4 linked regions of the Canis lupus familiaris genome follow. The protein of the gene in region 1 interacts with the protein of each later gene in a biochemical or structural test. Links are inferred from orthologs where the notes say so. Each region holds a gene or a part of one and is shown on either strand. Other genes may lie near its edges.

Region 1 (4,530 bases):
GCGCGCAGGCTCCTGGGAAATGTAGGCTGGGCGGGACTAAGAAAGAAGGAAAAGAAGGGATTAGAACTCTCGGCCACCATACTGCCTCATTCTGCGGCTGCTTTCTCCCCCGGGGGACCGCCCCACTTCCGGCCAGGCGGAGAAATGCTTGCTGGGGGATGAAGTTCTCCTGATGATAATGGCTCCCTTCTCGCTCCCTTGAATTCCACCCACTGGCACCAAGTCTGGTCAAGTGAGATGCAACCCAGGACAGAGTCCTCTGACTGGCTCCCACGCACGAAAATCTCTTCTTTCATCCAAAAGCTGTAACAAACTTGGGTGCATTTATCTAAAGTGGATACTTACTTTCTCCCCAGGAACCCAAAGTAAAAAAACAAAAGCCACTGTATTTTTTACATTGGGACCCAATACACAAGTATATAAAAGTATAGTTTCATGACCTGATACTTGGGAGTATTCGATCACAACAAAAATACTTTTGCGCAAGCAGTAACCCAATATCAACAGAATAAACCAGAATGTAGGATTACTGCCCCTCCAACCTCCACTCTCCCCACCAGAGGACAACTAGGAAAAAAGGGGCGGGAAGCAACACAAAGTAAAATCCAGTTCAGCTTGGTGGTTTCCTCTTTATTGATGTGCCTCCTGCCTTCCCCCCAACAATTTCAGTCCCTTCCCTCTACCCCCAAAAATGAAGGTAATGAGAGGAAGGGAATGTTGGGGTTCTGAGCCCCTTGGGCAGTTAGGGAACAGAAACCAAAACAATCACCGGATGTGACAGAGACGGACAATCAAGAAGTCTAGAGCAGAGTGGGAAAGGTCGAAGAGGAAGGGGAGAAAGGAGAGGTCCAAGAAGCCACCTCCCCCATGAGCCCTCCTGCTGAGAAGGGCTGGAGGAGAGCCTCAAACATTAGGAAGTGCAGGTCCCAACAAAGGGAGGTGAGGGATGAGCCCAAAGAAGGAGTAGGTCGAGGATGGGGGCCACCTCTGTCTTTGTAGAACCGGACCCCCCCCCACGTCAGGGGCAGCAGCTTCACAGACCGTAGACGCTTTCATCACTGTAGGCGATGTATAGAAAGAAGTCTTCTTCGTGGTGTTCCTGGATGGAGGCAGAAAACTATGGCACTCAGACGTCGGGGCTGTGGGCACGTGAACCACCCACTGCCCAGACACGTTTTTTGGAAAGCCCGTTCTTTCTGAAGACCCCCAAACGCTAGTGCCCTGACTCATACTCACTCATTTGCTCCAGGCCTTAGCAGCCAACAAGATTACCGCTGGCAGCAGTCCTGGGCAAAAAGATCTCAAACTGTTCCAAAATCTGCTGCCTTATACTTACCTGGCAGGGGAGATACCATGATCACAAAATCTGCTGCCTTGGGATGGTGGGGAAAGTGGACAAGAGGGTGGATCCAAAGCACTGCTGTAGTTCTCACCTCTATTCCCAATACCTTTATCCAAGCCCTCAACCTGGGACTACCCTCAAAATTTTGAGGTCACACGTAAAACTGAGAGCCAGCCAGCTAGTCCAAGAACTGCTGACCTGAAAATCTCTTCCAACACCTCTGCGGAGCCCCTGACTCCTTCCCAGTCACCATACCTGGTATAGCTGACCCATTGTGGCACTGGTGGGTGGAATGACGTTGTTGACAAAGAAAAACAAGGCATCCTCAGCTCGGAGATGAATTCGCTTCCGGATCAAGAAGTAGAACTGACCAACTGCCAAAGAGACAAGATACGATAAAGTCACAGGGATCAAAAAAGGCCTCAGAAGAGCAGTCACTACGGGGAGGCAGCATTTTCCCACCGACACTGCACCCCCACGCACAGGCAGCAAACCTGGGTCCTGGGTCAGGTTCCCACCTGTGAGATCAGAAGGCACCAGATACTTTTTTTTGTCCAGGTCTCCTATCCGAGCTTTGGGAGCCTTTTCTACTATCACCTATAAAAAGAAAGACGGAAATTAGGAAGCATCGAGGGGGGACAGCCCCACAGTCACCCCGTCGAGAACTCCAGAAACAAAACTGCTAGCACCCCAAGCCATCCAACTCGTTTTTCTTTGTCTGGGAACACGCGGTGCAGCCTCAAGCAGAGGCATCCTGACCCCGCAGCGTCAGGCTCACCTCGATATCCTGAATCCCCCGGCTGGGCGTCATAATAAACGAGGATCTTAGGCAGGCATGGCTCGTGCGAGCCGACGACAGCGTCGGCCTCGACGAGCCGGCCAGCTGGGAGGTGGCCATGGGAAGCCCCGACTGTCAAACTCCCTGCAGCCTCCCCAGCACTCCACACGTCTCCCTCGGCCAGCCGCGGCCCCCCACCCCCAGCTCCCTCGCCGCCCCGCTCCTTCCAACCTCCGCTCCCGGACACGATAGCCCCTGGCCCGGTCCCCGGCCACCCCCGCCAGCAGCCCGATGCCCTCGCTGCCTCGCCGGACCCCAAGCCGGGCTGTGGCGTCAGAGCCAGCGCCCCGCGTCCGCGGCCCCGGCTATGGTTCTCACCGGAACCCGGTCCGGGTATTTCTTTCTGATCTTCTCGCCCTCAGAGCGGCGTTTCTCGAACGGATGCTCTTCTTTATACACGAACTTCATCCTCCCGGGAACCGGGCTGGACCGGGCTGGGCTGAGGGAACCCGGGGGGGGGCCGGGACGGGGGGCGGCGGCGACGGCGGCGACGCGCGGGCGGACTCAGCGGAGCGATCCCGGGACTTGCGCCACTTCCCTATTCACCAACCCCGCCCCCGGCCGTCGGGGCCGCCCCGCCCGCTGGGTTACGCTACTAGCGTAACGGCCCTCACGCCGCCGGCGTAGCACCACCTACTGACCGCCCCCCTCACGCTGCCTGCGTAATCGCTTTGGAATCAGCTTGAGGGCTACGCAGCCGACGTAGCCAAGGTGGTTGGTCTGGGCTATGGTCGAAAATAACCGAAAACCCACATTCCGCCGTGCCCCACCGAGCTGGGCACCACAAGGGCTAGGAACTGCCGATTGTATTCTGAGGCTTGGTGCTCCGAAAAGTCTTTTCGGATACAAGGTGAAAAGGGGGAGGGGGGGAAGCAGAGAATTTTAAGGACAGCTATTCACGAAACGCGTCGGTACGCCGAAGGCGGCTGCTGACTCCAAAACAAAGTAGTACCCAAACGGAGAAGCTGGATCTCCGGGAAGAAAGGAGGGCAGACACGAAACAGGTATTCGCAGAAACGCACAGAACGCCTAGGTTCCCAGGAGGAGTGGACCAATGGGGACCGGAGAGGAGGTCCGAAAGGTAGGGACTACGTCAGCGCGGAGGAACACCTTCGGCACTGGCAGCAACGAAAAGTCATGTGATCTCAGAGAAGGGCGGAGCGTCACGTGGCGGCCGCGGGAAGTAGAGCCGGCCGCGGGGGGAGGGGCGCCGGCGGGAGGGGAGGGGGCGGGGCCGAGGGCCGGGGCACTCTCTGCGTCCACGTCGGTGCGCCTGCTCACGGACCGCGGCTTCCTCCTGCCCTGCAGCTCTGGTTCGCCGGGACCCACGGCTGTCCCTCCGACCCCACCCAGGGCACTCATCCTGCGGCCGAGACCCTTCCCACCAAAGGTCGACTCGTTCCCTGCTCCTTCCTCCGGAGCCAGCACCGCTGCTCCCTGACCCTCGGGCCTCGGCCTCCGCTTTGGGGAGCCAGGGTGGATGTGAACAAAGACTCCTCCCCTCATTTCCCAACCCTGAGAGAAGGACCTAGGGCAGCTTTGGTTTCAAAGTTATAATGCATGGTTTAAAAGAGAGGAAAGAAAAAGAGAGCGCGCCGGTTACAGGTCTGAGAGTATAGGAAGAAGGGAATGTAGAGGGAAAGGTTGGGGGCAGGGGGACAAGTTTGGGGAAAATCCAGTGGCCCAAAATCCCAGTTCCCCACCCACAGCCCAGCCCTTGGAGTGAAGAATTAGATCAGTTTTGTACAAGAGTTTTTAAAAAATCAAATCACAACAAAGCTGGCTTGGCTTTTCTTTGAGCCTCCCGGATTACCGAATGTCTGTGTGTCATTCTGGCCAGTCCTGTCTCCACCAGACAGTTTGGACTCTCCTGGGCCTCCGCTTATGTCCCAGTCTGGGGTTTCCAGAGAGTGCGAACACGAAGTTAGAGTGAGGCTGCTGCAGAGTCTGACCCATGTGTCCATCCAGACTCCGTGTGGAGTGCAGGGCTCCCAGGGCAGAGAGGGGCGGGAGGGGCAGACCCTGCCCAGACAGTCCTCACCATGGGACAGGGCATCAGACGGCATCCCGAGTGCTCACCCTCCCTTTCCCCCCCACCCCAACTCAGGTGGAGGGGGAGCAGCTGTCACCAGAGCCGATGTTGGTGAAGGTTTCGGCTCAGCACAGAACGAACATCAGCGGTGAACCTGGGACGACAATAACTTGCATTGGTAGAGTCCTCAAAACACTAGCGTTAGGCAGCCTCATTGGAGATGTGGGGCAAAATGATCACCTTTCTCACATGAAACTGAGGTCCAGTTTGCCCAAAACCCACTGGCTAAAAGTGATGAGCTTTACTGTAAGAAGGCCT
Region 2 (4,914 bases), on another chromosome or scaffold:
CTCTCTGTGACTATCATAAATAAATAAAAAAAAATTAAAAAAATAAAATAAAATAAAAGGGTCATTGATGAGCTGTAGAGAGGTCAAAGGAGTGTGAATTCATCTTTCACAACTCCCCTACCCCATTCTACCAATTCTCTTTATCCTCTCCTTGCAATCACTATCCACCTCATTAAAAATCAGGAAGTGAATCTCCTGGACTCATTTATTTACCTCATCAACCACATCCCTACTGATCATAAAGTTCTAAATGTTCCTCAGATGGAGATGCCTGGGTGGCTCAGTTGGTTAAGCATCTGCCTTTGGCTTGGGTCATAATCCCAGAGTCCTGAGATTGAGCCCCAATTCAGGCTCCCTGTTGAGCAGGAGCTTCCTTCTCTCCGCGCCCCCCCCCCCCCCACTCTCATGCTTTCTCTCCCTATCTTTCACTCAGGTAATTAAAATCTCTTAAAAAATAAATGTTTCTCAGATGGATTTCTCAAATATGGACTTCCTTTCCACTCACACTGATAGATAAATACTTCAGTGCCTCTTCTTTTCTTAGAATTTTATTGTCTCTTAACTGGTCTCCCTGCTTCTAGCCTTTGTCCTCCACATTGTTAACAGAGTTCTTAAGAAAATATATCTTTGGTCTTATGTAAAGTGACTGTTGTTTATTGTCTGAGCTGGGCACTTGAGCAAAATAAAGCTCTATTATGCCTGGGGAAAAGGCGTGAATTGGGACTTCCCCAGCAAATTAGGATAGTCACTAATCATATACTCCCCTCCTTAAAAATTTCAATTTATTTTCTATTGTCCACAGGAAAGCCAAACTCAACAATTGAAGCCCTGTCTTCTCTTGCTTCTGCCCTACATACACCCTGGCCTCCAGCCACATGACTTTCTCTTACTCTCAAGACATGCTCTCTGAAAGATGTGGATCCAGATTACTGGGTTTGACTTCCCTTATTAGCTGTGTAACACTGAGCAAGTTACTTAATCTCTCTATCTCAGTTCCCTCGGTAGATTGGGGAAAAATATGAGGATTAAGTGGGATGACTCAAGGAAAGACAACCTTTAACAGTGTTAGGAACAAAACACTCAATAAAACTTAGCTGTTAACTCTGTGATACAGGTCATGTTCCTACAGCTTTACAGATTTTAAAAAAGCTTGGAGATGTAAAGTTGCCCGAGGTCAATAACTGATGGAACATGTTTTTTCACTGTATTACAATTCTCTTAGCGACTTGAGGGTTTAGAGCATCTTCTTGTAGATTTCCCACCTTCAAATATACTGGCACCCCGTGCTCCAAGAATGTTGCAAGAGGTCAGACGGTCAAAGATTTGGACAGATACACGGAAGGAGAATGTTAAATCGGGGAAAAGAGAGTTGACTTAAAATATTTTGGGGAGTTGTATAGAAGAGGGAAGGACCTAGGGTGGTTCTGGGAGCAACGACTGGGCCTACGGGCTGAGATGACAGGAGGCAAGTATTTCCGCTTACTACAGTTATCTTCAGTATCTCCCTAAACAACGAGCACTGTCCAACGTGGAATCACCGCGCTCGAGATAGGCCTGGCGCCGAGATGCGACGGGGCGACCTCCGGACCTCGGAGCCGTTGGATCCTGGCCAGGGATCGGGGGCGGGTCCACAGACCGGTCGGCGACTCCCCGGCCGCCGCCAGAGCCCTTGGGTTCCAGGCCGCCCGCCCGCCCCGACGGCCAGCCAGCGCGGCCCGCCGGCAGGGAGGGAGGGAGGGAGGCGGGGGGGGGGGGGGGGAGCCGGGCCGGGGACTCAGCAAGTGGGCCGGCGGGGGCGGAGGAAAGCCCGCCGGGCCGGAAGCACCCGGAACTGCTTCCGGGTCAGGGGGCAGGAGCCACCATGGAGCCTCGCGGGGTAGCGGGGCGGACGGAGCCGCGGGCCGGCGTCTGAAGGGGGAGAGCAGTAGCGCGGCCAGCGCCGGCCGGCGCCGCTGGGGACACGCAGGCCGGTCCCGCAGCCGCCACCATGTCGGTGCTGGGCGAGTACGAGCGACACTGCGACTCCATCAACTCGGACTTTGGGAGCGAGTCCGGGGGTGGCGGGGACTCGGGCCCCGGGCCCAGCGCCGGTCCCGGGCCGCGAGGCGGCGGCGGCGCGGCGGAGCAGGAGGAGCTGCACTACATCCCCATCCGCGTCCTGGGCCGCGGCGCCTTCGGGGAGGCCACGCTGTACCGCCGCACAGAGGTAGCGGCCCCCGGCTCCGGCCGCCCCAGCCCCTCCTTCGCCGCCCCGCTTTCCAGCCCCGAGGCTGGCGCCTCCCTCGTCCTCACTTAGGTCACTTAGGTTTGCGTGGCCGCAGGGTGTTTGTCTCCGGGTCTTCTCCACTCTTCCAGCTCCCCTGCGCCGGGAGTTTAGATCCCCGGTTTTACTGACTGATGGTTTCTGTCGAACCTGGGGAACTGAGCAAAGCGTTGAACCTTCTCTGAGCCTTAGTTTTCCCATCTGTAAATTGGGGTTAATGATAACCCCCCTAAAAATAATCTTTTATTTTTTTAAGTTTGATTTTGAGAATCGAAGGTACTTTGCAAACTAAAGTGGCATACGAATGTGAAGTGTTGTCAAAACTTCCTTCCCTCGTGTGTACAGCTCTCCGAGGTCGGGGTGGAGAGGAGGGGAATAGCTTCAAAATTCCCACGTTAGTGGCAATTCCACCGTCTTTGCCGCTATCTTTAAATTCAGGTATGAACACCTAGTTGGAGATTTTTTAGAAGATCCTTGGGTTCGTCACTTTCTTCATCTGTGTTTGTGAATGGGAAATACCTTTCTGGCATATTCTAAGCCACTGTTTCTTAACTTGGGTTAGGGGGAGGCAAGGACTCCTTTGAAAACCTAATGTAAAAATAATCCGTCCCTCCCCGCCCCGCTTTGCATATATACACATCCTTTGAAGAGATTCATAGATCACTGACCCCCCAAGTCCAGAACGTATACTGATCTGAAGCCTTGTAGTGCTGACACTACTTCCAAAAACTAACCATCAATTGGACTTTATCACTAAAGTCTTAAACTTGAAGACTGTGGGTGATGAAGATTCACCCATAAATGATCCATTTGCAGTTCTGGGGTGTGTTCCAAGCTAGCATAGTTTTTAAGGCCGAAAGTTGGAGGAGGGGAAGTGGGTGGTTGCAAGAGAAAATTTTCCTGTTCTTTTTTATCTTAGTGCAACATTAATGTACAGTTTTAGGGTTACTGTTGGTATTCTGTTTTTCTTATTTGTACTCATGAGAAGGAGAAGATGAGCATTGCTGTTTCTGTTTTATAATTAAACTAAGACAGTATATTTAAATGACTTGACACTTAGAAGTAAATCTTGGGCTAGAACAGTGTTTCAGGTCTCCTCTCCCATGCCTTTCCATCATGTTGAACTTGATTATTGAGGTTGGTTTATGTAAAATTTGATTATACTTCTCAAAAATGGCAGACCATTGTTCATATTGCCAAATGTTTATGATGTTTGTGAATTTACAAAGGTTTAATTAGAAGCAGCCCTTTCTCTCCAGAAGGTTTTATTTCAGTGGAAAGACAAGTTGGCCATTAGTTTTTTTTTTTTAAAGCATTTAAGTTGAATGTGTATATAAATGAGAAAGGATGCACAAATATCATACCAGTGTAAGTTGTGAAAATGAAGGAATGGTTGCACTGAATAAAGGCACAGTAGAAGGTTTATCAGGATAACCCCTTACCCCCAAGTTTAAAAGTTCTGGCAGAATCATTCTAAAGGATAAGGAGAATGATTTAGGTGGGGATGCTCCAGGGCTGGGAAGCAGTATCAGTAAAGAATTTGGGTGTTGTAAAAGGGAGTGGATATTGGGAGCTGCAGATAAGTTGTCATGGATAGAGGGAAACACATGACACAAAAGTTATAGGAGCTATAGGAGTTGCAACATAGGGCAGGTGAGGGAAGTGAACTCTAAGCCCTTAGGCATCACTTATTCCTATCCAGAAACCATAAACAGAAATCACTAGAGAAATCTAAATTTATAAAATTAGAGATAAGTTTAATATTACCATTTTACAAGGAACTGTAACTAGCTATAGATAACCATGCTCTCCAGCTCTCCATTTCTCCCAATATTCTAGCCCTACTACTGCTTATCATGACTAGCAGGTTGTCATAATGTCCCTCAATAGAATCTTAGAGATCTACCTTTCCTATTTTTACCTGAAATTGACATCATGCAAATTAAGTGTAGCAGCAATGTAACAGCATCTTAGTGCTTTGCGCAATTGTATGAAGAACCTTTAAATTCTGTTCCTGTTTTTTTTAAAGGAAAAAATAAAAGGAGTCAGTCTCTGCCCATCTAGGAAGTTTTCTTTCTAGACTTACAGATCCAGGTGTGGATTCATTCTCTGCCAGGCAAGAGTAAAGCACAATACCTCTATTAATGTGTTGTAGGATGACTCACTGGTTGTGTGGAAGGAAGTTGATTTGATCCGACTGTCAGAGAAGGAACGTCGTGACGCCTTGAATGAGATTGTTATTCTGGCGCTGCTGCAGCATGACAACATTATTGCCTACTACAATCACTTCATGGACAATACCACCCTGCTGATTGAGCTGGAATATTGTAACGGTAAGGTCGAATTCAACGGGCCCTCCTTTGGCAAGACATTCTTGTACCTTGAGGGGGAGAAAAAAATAAAAGGCATATACATTGATTAAAAATTTTAAGTGGATTTCTAGAGTTGAAGGGAAATAACTCAAATAGTTTAAGAGAATAGTTCTTAGAGAATTTTTAAGTGAGTTACAAAATAAGGAAAGGGATTTTCCCCTGCATATTCAAATTCTTGTGCTTATAGTTCCAACTTCAAATTATTTGTTCAGTTGAATTTCACATTCACTTTTCAAGGTTTTTTTCACATGAATTAACTTTAGGCATTAGTGTTAGACA
Region 3 (4,851 bases), on another chromosome or scaffold:
TTTATCTATAAAATGACAGTGATATATCAATAAGTTTTATGCCTAGTAAACTTTTAGATGTAGGTCCTAAAAATAGCCTAAAGGACCATGAGGTATGGCAAGATGGTAGTGGGGTACTGAGGTGATAGGGCTTTGTTTGGGCCCATCGTTCTGCTTTTTTACATAAGAACTCCCTTTGTGCAAAGGGATTCCACACAAATTTTACAATCTGAAAATCCTTCTCAACTCTAAAATTTCATGATACCAAGATTCCAAACCAGTAAGCACTTTGTTAACCAACAAGCACATATTGCATATTCTTAAAAACCTACAAAATTAATTTCTTAAATCTTAAAGTTATTTATTTTCAAATGGTCCATTAATTTGGATTGACATTACTCTTTGAGAATCTCCATCATTATGGTTTCCTATTATAATGTTAATAAACATGTGGCTCACTTCCAGTTTTCAGTGATCAGTAAAATGAATCTAAGAAAATGTGGTAAAATAGTCCCCTTCCTTCTAACTTTGACGGGATATCAGAATCTGAAATTTCATAACCCTAGAAAAAGCAAATAATTAGCTAATTTTCCAGACCCTGAAATTGTATCAATCATTTCTTCCAATGTACAAATTACAATTCAAGGTCACTTGAATCTATTAGACATAAAAATCTTTTTTAAAACATGAAGCATCAAGTAACAACAGGAAACTGAGTTGATATTACAGACCTTTTTGCCCCGAAGTCTTACAATAGAATCTTTTCTGTAACTTCAACTATGAACTTTCATTACATTTGATCTTTTTGTCTAAAGCGATGCCAATATTATAGTTTCTCATTGGCGGGGGGGGGGGGGGGGGGGGGGGGGAACCCAAGGATGTTATATTTTACATTTTTACTGGTTTGTTAACACTGTGTAGTGGTACTCTAAGTAGCATTCCCAAGAGGTCCACAACATTTTAGCACAGCTATGTATAAACTTCCAGAATGGGAAAAATAAATGTAATATGTTTTCTTTTAGCAATATGTCAATCAGATTCTCACATATTTATCTGATCCTCAAACAATATCAGGTAAACAGGTATACTTTATGGAGCTTACAACTTAATGGTTTATTCACTAAACAGATAGCTGTTAATCTTTTTTCAGCGTATCAGAATGGTTAACAAAAAAAAAAAAAAATTATCCTAAATCCTTCCTCCTTTTGGGTACAGGAAAAGGAAGGAGTGATATGCTGAATACTCTTAATAACTTCTACAACCTTTAATAACAAATCCCTGACTCATCTATTTTTCACAACAACCTTACAAACCTTTGGTGAGGTACATATCCTTTCTTCTAATTTGTAAATTGAGGTAAAAAGTTAAGTAACGTGCCCAAAGTTACACAACTAATAATTAGTGAAACCAGGGTACAAACAGGCAAGCCTGGCTCAAGTTTTAGCTCCCTGCCACTACTACATGGCTTCTTAATGTACCTTACCATTTGACAGAAGATCAAAATTGAAGGAAAAAAAAAGGGGGGGGGGGGCAGCTAGTCAAAAGTGAATAAGGATCACCTTTATAACCAATGGCAAAGAAAAGCTGAAATTGTACAAATAATGTGTATTCAAAGGCATAACATGTACTATCTGTGTTACTTTAAGTACAAATTTGACCAACGACTTCAATACAAACTCTGACCATACCCAACCAATAACAAACACCGAATTCTGAAACTTAGGAATAGTTTGAGAAAGAAATGAAAAAAGAAAAGGAAAGAAAGAAAGAAGGAAATTAAGAAGGAAAGAAAGAAGGAAAGAAGGAAGGAAAGAAAGAAAAGAAAGAAAGATGTTCCACAATAACCTTAAACCCTAGTCCGATGACCTGCTGGAACTTGGGGCAATTTGTCTCTTTCTGTATCTCTTCTGTACTCTGTTGGGAACTACTTCCCTATTTCTGCCCGATTCCAAAAATCCCAGGTTTGCTGGTCACTGGCATCCTTTCCCCGCTAGCACTTCATAGTTTTCTGGAGGATGTTAACGTGCATGGCTCAAATCACCTGTGATAAGGCCCAAGTAAGTGACCACAAAATAGATCCAGATCTAGATCTATCTATACATATAATTTTAAACGGAGGAATAGGACATTACAGAGAAAAAAACTAGTCATTCTAAGCATCGGGACCCGAGGAGACAGACGGGATGGGCAGCATCAACCGAGTACGCCGTGTGGATCTGCGACGACGCGGGAGGTTTCCGGCAGGTTAGGCTGAGGCGGCGGCTGGGAAACACCACGCCAGGTCTACGGCGTTCGGCGCGGCTTCGCCCGCTTGGCCCAAAGGCAGGACGACGGAGGAGCCGCCGGGGAGCAACGCACAGGTGACGAGCGCGGGCGGCGGGGCGGCGGGGCGGGCTGCAGGGCGCGACCCCGCCGCCGTGTGTCTCCGCCGCGTCGCGGGCGCCGCTGCACGTCTGGAGGCCGAGCGCCGCGCGGGCCCCGCCGGGCAGCAGCAGACGCGTCCCGCCCGCGCACAAAGCGCCGGCCGCCGCGGGTCCGTGGGCCCCACCTCCTCCCACCCTGCGTCCCGCGGCCGCGACTTCGGGGTAACGAGCGCGCGAGGCCGAGGCCGCGGGGGGCGCGGGAGGCCGGGGGCGCGGCGCAGGCCCGGCGGGGCGGCCTCGGGGACCCCGGGCGGCCCGCCCCGAGCGCGGCGCCTCTCGCCTCCCGCCGCGGCCGCCCCTCGCCCGCCTCGCTCCCAGCCGTCGCCGTCGCCGTCCCCGTCCCCGTCCCCGTCGCCGACACCGCCCCCCCTCAGGCCCCCTCACAACGGCGCCTCGCGCGGGGCCGCCCCACCGGCCTCGCCCTCCCGGGGCGCTCCCCTCGCCGCGTCTCCTGCCGAGCGCCCCGAAGCCCCCTTGCCCCGGGTGGGAGCGGGGGGCTCGCCTTTCCTACCTGGATCCGCTTCTTGTGTCTCCTGCGCTCCGCCATGTTGGCCGCTCCGCCCGGTTCCCTCTGACGTGGAGCGAGGAGGGGGCGGTGGAAGCCTCGCGAGAGCGCGCGTGGGCCCGTTATGTAATCGGGCGGCGGGCGGGCGGGCGGGGAGGGGAGCCCGCGAGAGGCGGCGGCCGCGCCGGCCTGGTCGGCTCCTTGCTTCTCCTCCCCACTCGTCCCCCCGTGCTGCGGGAACTGGAACTCTCCCTGGGACCGGGAGGAGACTGAGACGCGGTCCGGAGAGCGGGAGGGCGCGGACGGAGGAGCACCTGCGCCTGCACCTGCAGCACCTGGGCGGGCGGTCGCCGGACATGCGGGCTCCCGCCCCGCCCCCACTCGGCGCACTCCCGGTCTGCACCGCGGGGGCCTGGCGGGGCCCGGGCCTCAACCCATCCTCCCGCCCCTGCGGAGCCCCGGGTGCTGCAGCGCCTCGAAAACAAAACGTTGGATTCTCCATCCCGTCTTCTATCTTGTTTCTCAAAATCCGAGAGGCAGAATTTAGGGAAGGACAAGCAACTAGTAAGAGGAGCGGGGGAGTCTGAGCCCGCAGGCGCCTTGAAGTCTGGTGAATGATTCTTCCAACTCCAACTATGATTATTTTATTTTATTTTTTGTTTTATGATATGTAACTCTTTTATTTATATTACTTTTACTTTTATTATTTTTTAAATTCGAGATCTAGATTCTTATTTATTATTTATTTATTTATTTATTTATTGGAGTCCAAGTTGTCAACATATAGCGCATCACCCAGTGCCCATCCCGTCGAGTGCCCCCCCCCCTTATTCTTTTAGAGAGTCTCAGGCTTGCAGCTGAACCTCAAAAGATACGGCATGGATGATTATTTCTAGCTGTCTTCTGGACATTTCCACGGAATGTCCAACGGGGGAAAAAAAACAAAATCACCATTTCGCCCTCCAAACCTACCCCTATGGCTGTATCTTAGACCTCTGGTAACCTTGTCATTGTTCCCCCGGTTACTCCTATTAGAAACCTTGGAGGTATCCCAACCGTGCTTCGCTGATCAATCACCAGCCCAACTGATCCTGCAGCACAGATGTTTGGAATTCTTTCCTGCTTCATCATTCCTACTTGCCGGCTCCCAGTCAGCTCTTTAGCAGGGCTCACCTGGACTGTTGGCGAGTTCACCTGGAGTGTTGGCGAGAGCCTCCCTCTCATTCGAGCCCAACTCCAGGCCCAACTCCAAGGCGATCCTCCGCTCCCCCACCCCAGGGCCCCCCCAGTTGTGACCCACACAGGCGCCCCATTATTTTGTTATTTCAAATACAAATGGATTTCATGGACTTCCATAAGGAGGCATGTAATATCTGGTTGTTTCTTTTTTTGTGATGTTAGCAGCCATTCATGATCATCATCTAGATTCTCTATCTTTCAGGGGTGTAAGACAGTGATACTCAAATTCTTCTTTTGCTTTTTAATAGCTGTAATGCTTCCACAGGGGAAACAGTTGCATAGTTGTATGGATGCTTAGCTCATGAGGGCTAATGTTCACACGTGTAAGCCAAATTTCAAATTTCTCCTAGTTAATATTTGCATAAAAACATCTCAAACCTTCTTCCCAGCACTCCATTTATATACTGGATGGCGGGGGCAGAGAGTTTCTCCTATCCACTTCTTGTTCTGCTTTCCCTTTGAATTTACATCTCACTCCTGTCGTTTGGCTCCTCTTTCTTTTCTTTCTTTCTTTCTTTCTTTCTTTCTTTCTTTCTTTCTTTCTTTCTTTCTTTCTTTCTTTCTTTTTCTTTCTTTCTTTTTTTTTTTTTTTTTTTTTTGGCTCTTCTTTCTTTCCCCAAGGAGGAGCATTGCCTCTTTCTCTGTCTTTTGCCAAAGCAAAAGTTTTCTTTGCCCCTGGGTTCTGTCATTTCTTCTCCCTGGTGC
Region 4 (4,865 bases), on another chromosome or scaffold:
CCATATAGGTCAACCCTTAGGGCACAGGGCAGATGGGAAAGAATGGAGAATGAATCTGGGGGGCTAAGGAAGTTATCCAACCTTACTATATCCAAGGTACCTGCTATGCAAGGGATAGAGAAGGTAAACATAGTCTAATTCTCAGCAGACTCATGGCTGGAATGATAGTCAAACAGAACTTTAATTTAGTACAACCAGCACAGTGTGTTATGGGCATATAGATGAGAGGCATCTCTTTCATAACTTAAATGTCAGAGATAGTGGGGGTGGTGGTGCTGGTGGTTTGACTGGGAAAGTCTTTCTGGAGATTAAGATTCATAGCATAATTCAGAGTCCATTTTAAAGTATGACAATTTGATCCCATTTTAAAATATGACAATTTTTAAAGAAGATTAAATGCTGTTCTCTGAAAGATTTTTTTGATGAAATAGAAGAAGATGGGACTAGGGCATGGAAGTGAGGATGAGAAGTGAGGGATAGAATGACATAATTTCAAAAGTTTTTCCTAGTTTTTGTGTTTTAATAATTTAGCTTTTTGCTGTCTTGTTAGTTCTGAACTATAAGTCCGTCGATGTTTAGTAAATGAAAAGGAGTATAAAATTTTATAACAATCTCTTTTTTGCAGAACCTGACTTCAGGGTTCAACAACGAATGGTCTTAAATTTAACATAACTAAATTTAATGGGGAATATAGTGCTTTGAAAAATAAATCATGTAAGTTTATTACATATGGAAACAATGCAAAAAAGAGGAAAACGACTATTAGACAAGTCTAATTTGGATTAATATTCACAAAGTTCCTTTATTTAACATTCTCTTCATAGACTTTGCTCTAACCTTCAAGAAACCTCTATGACTCTACACCTGGATAATTTCTAATGAAAGCAAACTCATTACATAGCACCTTAGATGATCATAAGAAAGATATTTATATACGGAACTTCATGTTAAATGGTATCCTAAAAAGATAGATGCAGGAAGGGATCAAATCACAATGAGGTCAGGGCCTTCGGAAAAGGTTGGGGGAGACAGGTGACAAGAAGGAAGAGAAACTTTTCTTGACTTCTTTTCTGTGCACCATAATTTGTTTTAGGTTTTCCAGGTGATCCAAGCGAACAGCTGGCAAGACCACAGTGCATGAAATCTGTGCACTGGGATCTCACCGCAGTCCTAATTTTCTTTGTAATCAGACGTAATTATAGCGAAATGTAGTGAGGAGTTTGTCCACAATCAACATCAAACAAGAATTTCCAGTAGTATCCCTCGTGCTGTAGCTACAAACGTCAAACCGGGCGGGCGTAAAACACAGCCCATAATTATAAACAACTAGAGACAGAAGCGTGGGCAGTTAGTGACACTTCAAAAGGCTGCACAAGATGCTTGGGATGTGTCTTTGGGAAATCCAGAGAAGAAATGAGTCAAATAGGATTGGGGCAAAAGCCAATTTTCGGAGGCAGATGCGGAGCGGCAGCTCTCAGCGGCTCCAGGGAAGGTGCATCCCCCGCCCCCGGCCAGCACAGACAGGCCCCGGGTCCTAACTAGGCCTTGGTCCGCGGGTCTCCGCGCCCTTTTTCCGCTCGCAGCTCGGGGGCCGGCGCTTGACTCCGCCTCCGCCTCGGCCTCGGCCTCCGCCTCCGCCTCGGCCCCGCCCCCGCCCCCGCCCCCGCCCCCGCCCCATCAGGGCCCGGCTCCGCCCACCAGCCTGGGCCGCCGCTGGCTCCGCCCACTCTCCCCGGGCGGCGGAGGGGCGGGGCTCGGCGGAGGGGCGGGGCTGGGCGGGGCTCGGCGGGGCGGGGAGGGGCGGGGCGCGGAGGCCGCGGCGCTCGCGAGCGGGAGGAGGATCCGCCGCGGACTTACGGGAAAGTTGGTCCGAGTTCCTGGAGGTTTTCCCCGGGGACTCGGGGGCTCGGCCGGCCGGTGCCCGGCTCCTGTCCTCCCTGCGTCCTTCAGCGCCCACCGGGGCCGTTCCTCTGTCGCCGGCCGCCATGGAGCAGCCGCCAGCGCCCAAGAGGTAACGCTCGCGGGGAGCCGGGAGCCGGGAGCCGGGAGCCGGGAGCCGGGAGCGGAGGGAGGGCGGGGGGGCCGGCGGCCGCGGGCGGGGGCGGCTAGGCCCGAGCTGGCGGCGACCCCTCCGCGGCGGCGGGGCCCGGGCCGGGCGCGTCGGCCGTCGCGAGGCGGGGCCGGGCCGCGGCTGCCCCCAGGCCCGGGGCGCCGCGGGGAGGCCGAGCCTGGCGTCTGCCGCGGCGGCCGGGCCTGGCGGCGTGGGGAGTCGCTGGGGAGTCGCTGGGGAGCGGCTGGGGAGCGGCTGGGGAGCGCCGGCCTCCCCGCCGCGCTCCTGGGCCTCTTCCTCCCGGCGAGTCTCGGAGCCCGGGACGCGAAACGGGGCATGCATTAGGCTGCTCGCAGCCTTCTCGGCGCTTTTGTCCAGTGTTTCTCGTGATACTGCCATTTATTTGAGAAGGCGGATTATTTGTTTCCCGTCGAAGGAATTCCGTAGGAACAGCTACGTAGTGTGTGGACCTTGAGGGTGTACCGCACTGACAGGTGTTCCTTCCTCACCGCCCTCAAGTTCAAAAGTATTTATGGATGCGAGACAGTAGGAATCCTAAATTAGAACCCCTTCCCCGCATAGTGCTTTGTTTTGTTTTCTAGCATATAGAAGTAGTGATGCTTTGGTATTTACTGTTAGTTTGATCTTTGATATATTGGAAGAGTGAGAGTACACAGTAGATACTTTTAAAAGTAGTATTTGAAATGATCAAGCTAAATCAAGGCTGCCCAGAGATATAAATTCATAATGTGCATCTTTTTTCCCCCCAAGAATGAATCAACGTCATTTAACTGGTGTTGTTTAAAACATGTAATCTCAGTCTTTCATTTGTAATTTATAAAATAAGAGTACTAATCTTTCTCCCAGAGAGTGCTGTTGTGAAGATTAAGGAGTTCCTGTGTTCTGATACTTAGAGATCTTTAGACGAAAGGTGATATATTCAGGAACATGGAATAATTAAAAAGGTAGGAACTTTGTGAGCTGTTGTGAATCGTGTGACTAGACATGTGAGCCTTGAGGCCTGGAAACCATCTGTTCAGGTGAAAAAAGGTGGGTGTGTGGAAGGGCGTCCAAAAGAGACTTGTTATCAGAGCCCTTGATTTTTGTCTGGTATTTTGTATTGAATTCTCGTATTGATTGGGCACCCAGTTTTAGTATCTTAGAAGAAAATTGGAAACTTTTTTTCTTCTCTGTTTTGGAAGGACTGTAAGGGGGCCACCTCTGAGATGATGCCCAAAGGTCAAGTTGAACAACTCCAAATTGAAGTAGAAGCTCTATTCATTCATTGGCTGTAAATTATCGGTTTCTTTATAGGTATAAGAGATCCTCTGGCCTTGCAGGGGCTCTAGAAAACCTAGAAGGGCCAGGGGGAGATGTGGGTGGTATATATAACCATTTCATGGTCATTTATACTTTACAAAGTGATGCTTGCACTCCAACAGGCTCATTTTTAGTTCTCTTCAGACAGACTTCGTTGTTCCAGGAAGGCATTTCTGGAAAGCAAGCTATGTGACATTAAGCCCATATATTTGAATGTCACTTAAATTTTTTTCATAGCATTTTCATTTTCATAATATCATCATAGCAACCCTATTACGTAAGTTTGATTACAGGAAGTAATCCTGTTTTGTAGCTGAGGACACAAAGAGTTTGCTCCATGGAAGGCTATGACAGGGATTACTGAAAGTGAGTTTTTGTGTCCTCCCTATTGATTATTACCTTCTAATAATAAAATATGCCATTTTTGAGGTCATTTTTTCCCCCAGGAAATTTGTATATGCATTCCTTTATTTTATTGTCATAAGAAAGAGGAATCATGGCTCTGCAGCTTATTACGCTAGTTCTAAATTTAATTTCTTCATCTGTAAAGTGTGTTACGGGGATTAGAATAGGTCATGTGTAAAAGCACTTAGCACAGTGCTCCATAATGTGTTGAACGACGCTAAATGTTGGTTTATTTTTTCCTTATTAAATGAAACTCAGAGAGGTTAAATAATTTGGTCAAGTGGAGGAGTTGCCAGAACCCTGAATCTGATTGGCTGCAAAGGCTGTGAACCCTCTCATTGTGTACAGTGATACCTCTTTTTAAAAACACTTCTTTTAGCCTTCCATGGTGTGGTGGCCATGTCTTTGTACGATCCTGTGGGCCCTCTGCTTGTTCTTTTCCTAATCCCTGTAAGAATGTTGCTTTGCTTTTCTGCCTTGCATAGGAGCACTTCCTTAGGGCTCAGACATTTTTACATGGTCACATTTATGTTGCTGATGTTCAAGTCTGTATGACCAGCAGGTGTGTTCAGTTGGAATATTTGATATTTTTATGCAGATCCATTCTTTCATTATTCTTTCTAGTTTGTCACTAAGTCCTATTGAATTCTCCATCAAGAAGTCTAGATTCATTTTCTTTTCTGTTTTTCATTTTTGATACTACTACTCCATACCTGGGTTTTATGACCGTCATACTTGATTTACAGCAATGCCTTCCAACTAGGTACTTTAGGGCAGTGGTTTAAAAAATTTTTTAGCAGGAAGGCTGTGTTTGGAGTAGAGGCAGGCACTAGGACCTGGTTCTCACTGCCTTATCTCCTTCTACTCCCCTTTTGCTGCCTGCAGAACCTCCTAATGATCCATAGGACACTGCCTGCAATGGCTTTTGATTTGTTTTCTTAAAGCATCACTTTCACCATGCTATTCCCTTTAAAAAAATTTTTTTTTTAATTTTTAAAAATTTTTTGGTTTGGGGCACACTTGTTTACTTAGTATCCAAGACCCCTATCACTTGGTCTCAGATTTAATCCCCAGGCTTTTGTTATTCTTC

The links. The genes of interacting proteins can lie anywhere in the genome.
Region 2: the proteins of GABARAP (region 1) and NEK9 form a complex in vitro, tested with the Homo sapiens proteins (2 studies listed by BioGRID and IntAct, with this or other methods). The link is inferred for Canis lupus familiaris from reciprocal best matches to the Homo sapiens genes GABARAP and NEK9.
Region 3: the proteins of GABARAP (region 1) and SEC62 interact in a test that uses a peptide from one of them, tested with the Homo sapiens proteins (2 studies listed by BioGRID and IntAct, with this or other methods). The link is inferred for Canis lupus familiaris from reciprocal best matches to the Homo sapiens genes GABARAP and SEC62.
Region 4: the proteins of GABARAP (region 1) and STK3 form a complex in vitro, tested with the Homo sapiens proteins (2 studies listed by BioGRID and IntAct). The link is inferred for Canis lupus familiaris from reciprocal best matches to the Homo sapiens genes GABARAP and STK3.

Annotation. Positions count from the first base shown.
Region 1 is NC_049226.1:32,414,182-32,418,711, forward strand, and holds GABARAP (gamma-aminobutyric acid receptor-associated protein), read right to left. Parts: upstream 2,708-4,530; 5' UTR 2,589-2,707; coding exon 2,499-2,588; intron 1,940-2,498; coding exon 1,861-1,939; intron 1,717-1,860; coding exon 1,598-1,716; intron 1,100-1,597; coding exon 1,034-1,099; 3' UTR 610-1,033; downstream 1-609. Other genes in the region: CTDNEP1 (CTD nuclear envelope phosphatase 1), read right to left, coding at 4,306-4,366. UniProt on the Homo sapiens protein: Ubiquitin-like modifier that plays a role in intracellular transport of GABA(A) receptors and its interaction with the cytoskeleton.
Region 2 is NC_049229.1:48,533,841-48,538,754, reverse strand, and holds the start of NEK9 (serine/threonine-protein kinase Nek9), read left to right. Parts: upstream 1-1,844; 5' UTR 1,845-1,987; coding exon 1,988-2,206; intron 2,207-4,418; coding exon 4,419-4,596; intron 4,597-4,914.
Region 3 is NC_049255.1:34,814,768-34,819,618, reverse strand, and holds the start of SEC62 (translocation protein SEC62), read right to left. Parts: upstream 3,071-4,851; 5' UTR 2,950-3,070; coding exon 2,914-2,949; intron 1-2,913. UniProt on the Homo sapiens protein: Mediates post-translational transport of precursor polypeptides across endoplasmic reticulum (ER). Proposed to act as a targeting receptor for small presecretory proteins containing short and apolar signal peptides.
Region 4 is NC_049234.1:1,024,775-1,029,639, reverse strand, and holds the start of STK3 (serine/threonine-protein kinase 3), read left to right. Parts: upstream 1-1,795; 5' UTR 1,796-1,985; coding exon 1,986-2,011; intron 2,012-4,865. UniProt on the Homo sapiens protein: Stress-activated, pro-apoptotic kinase which, following caspase-cleavage, enters the nucleus and induces chromatin condensation followed by internucleosomal DNA fragmentation.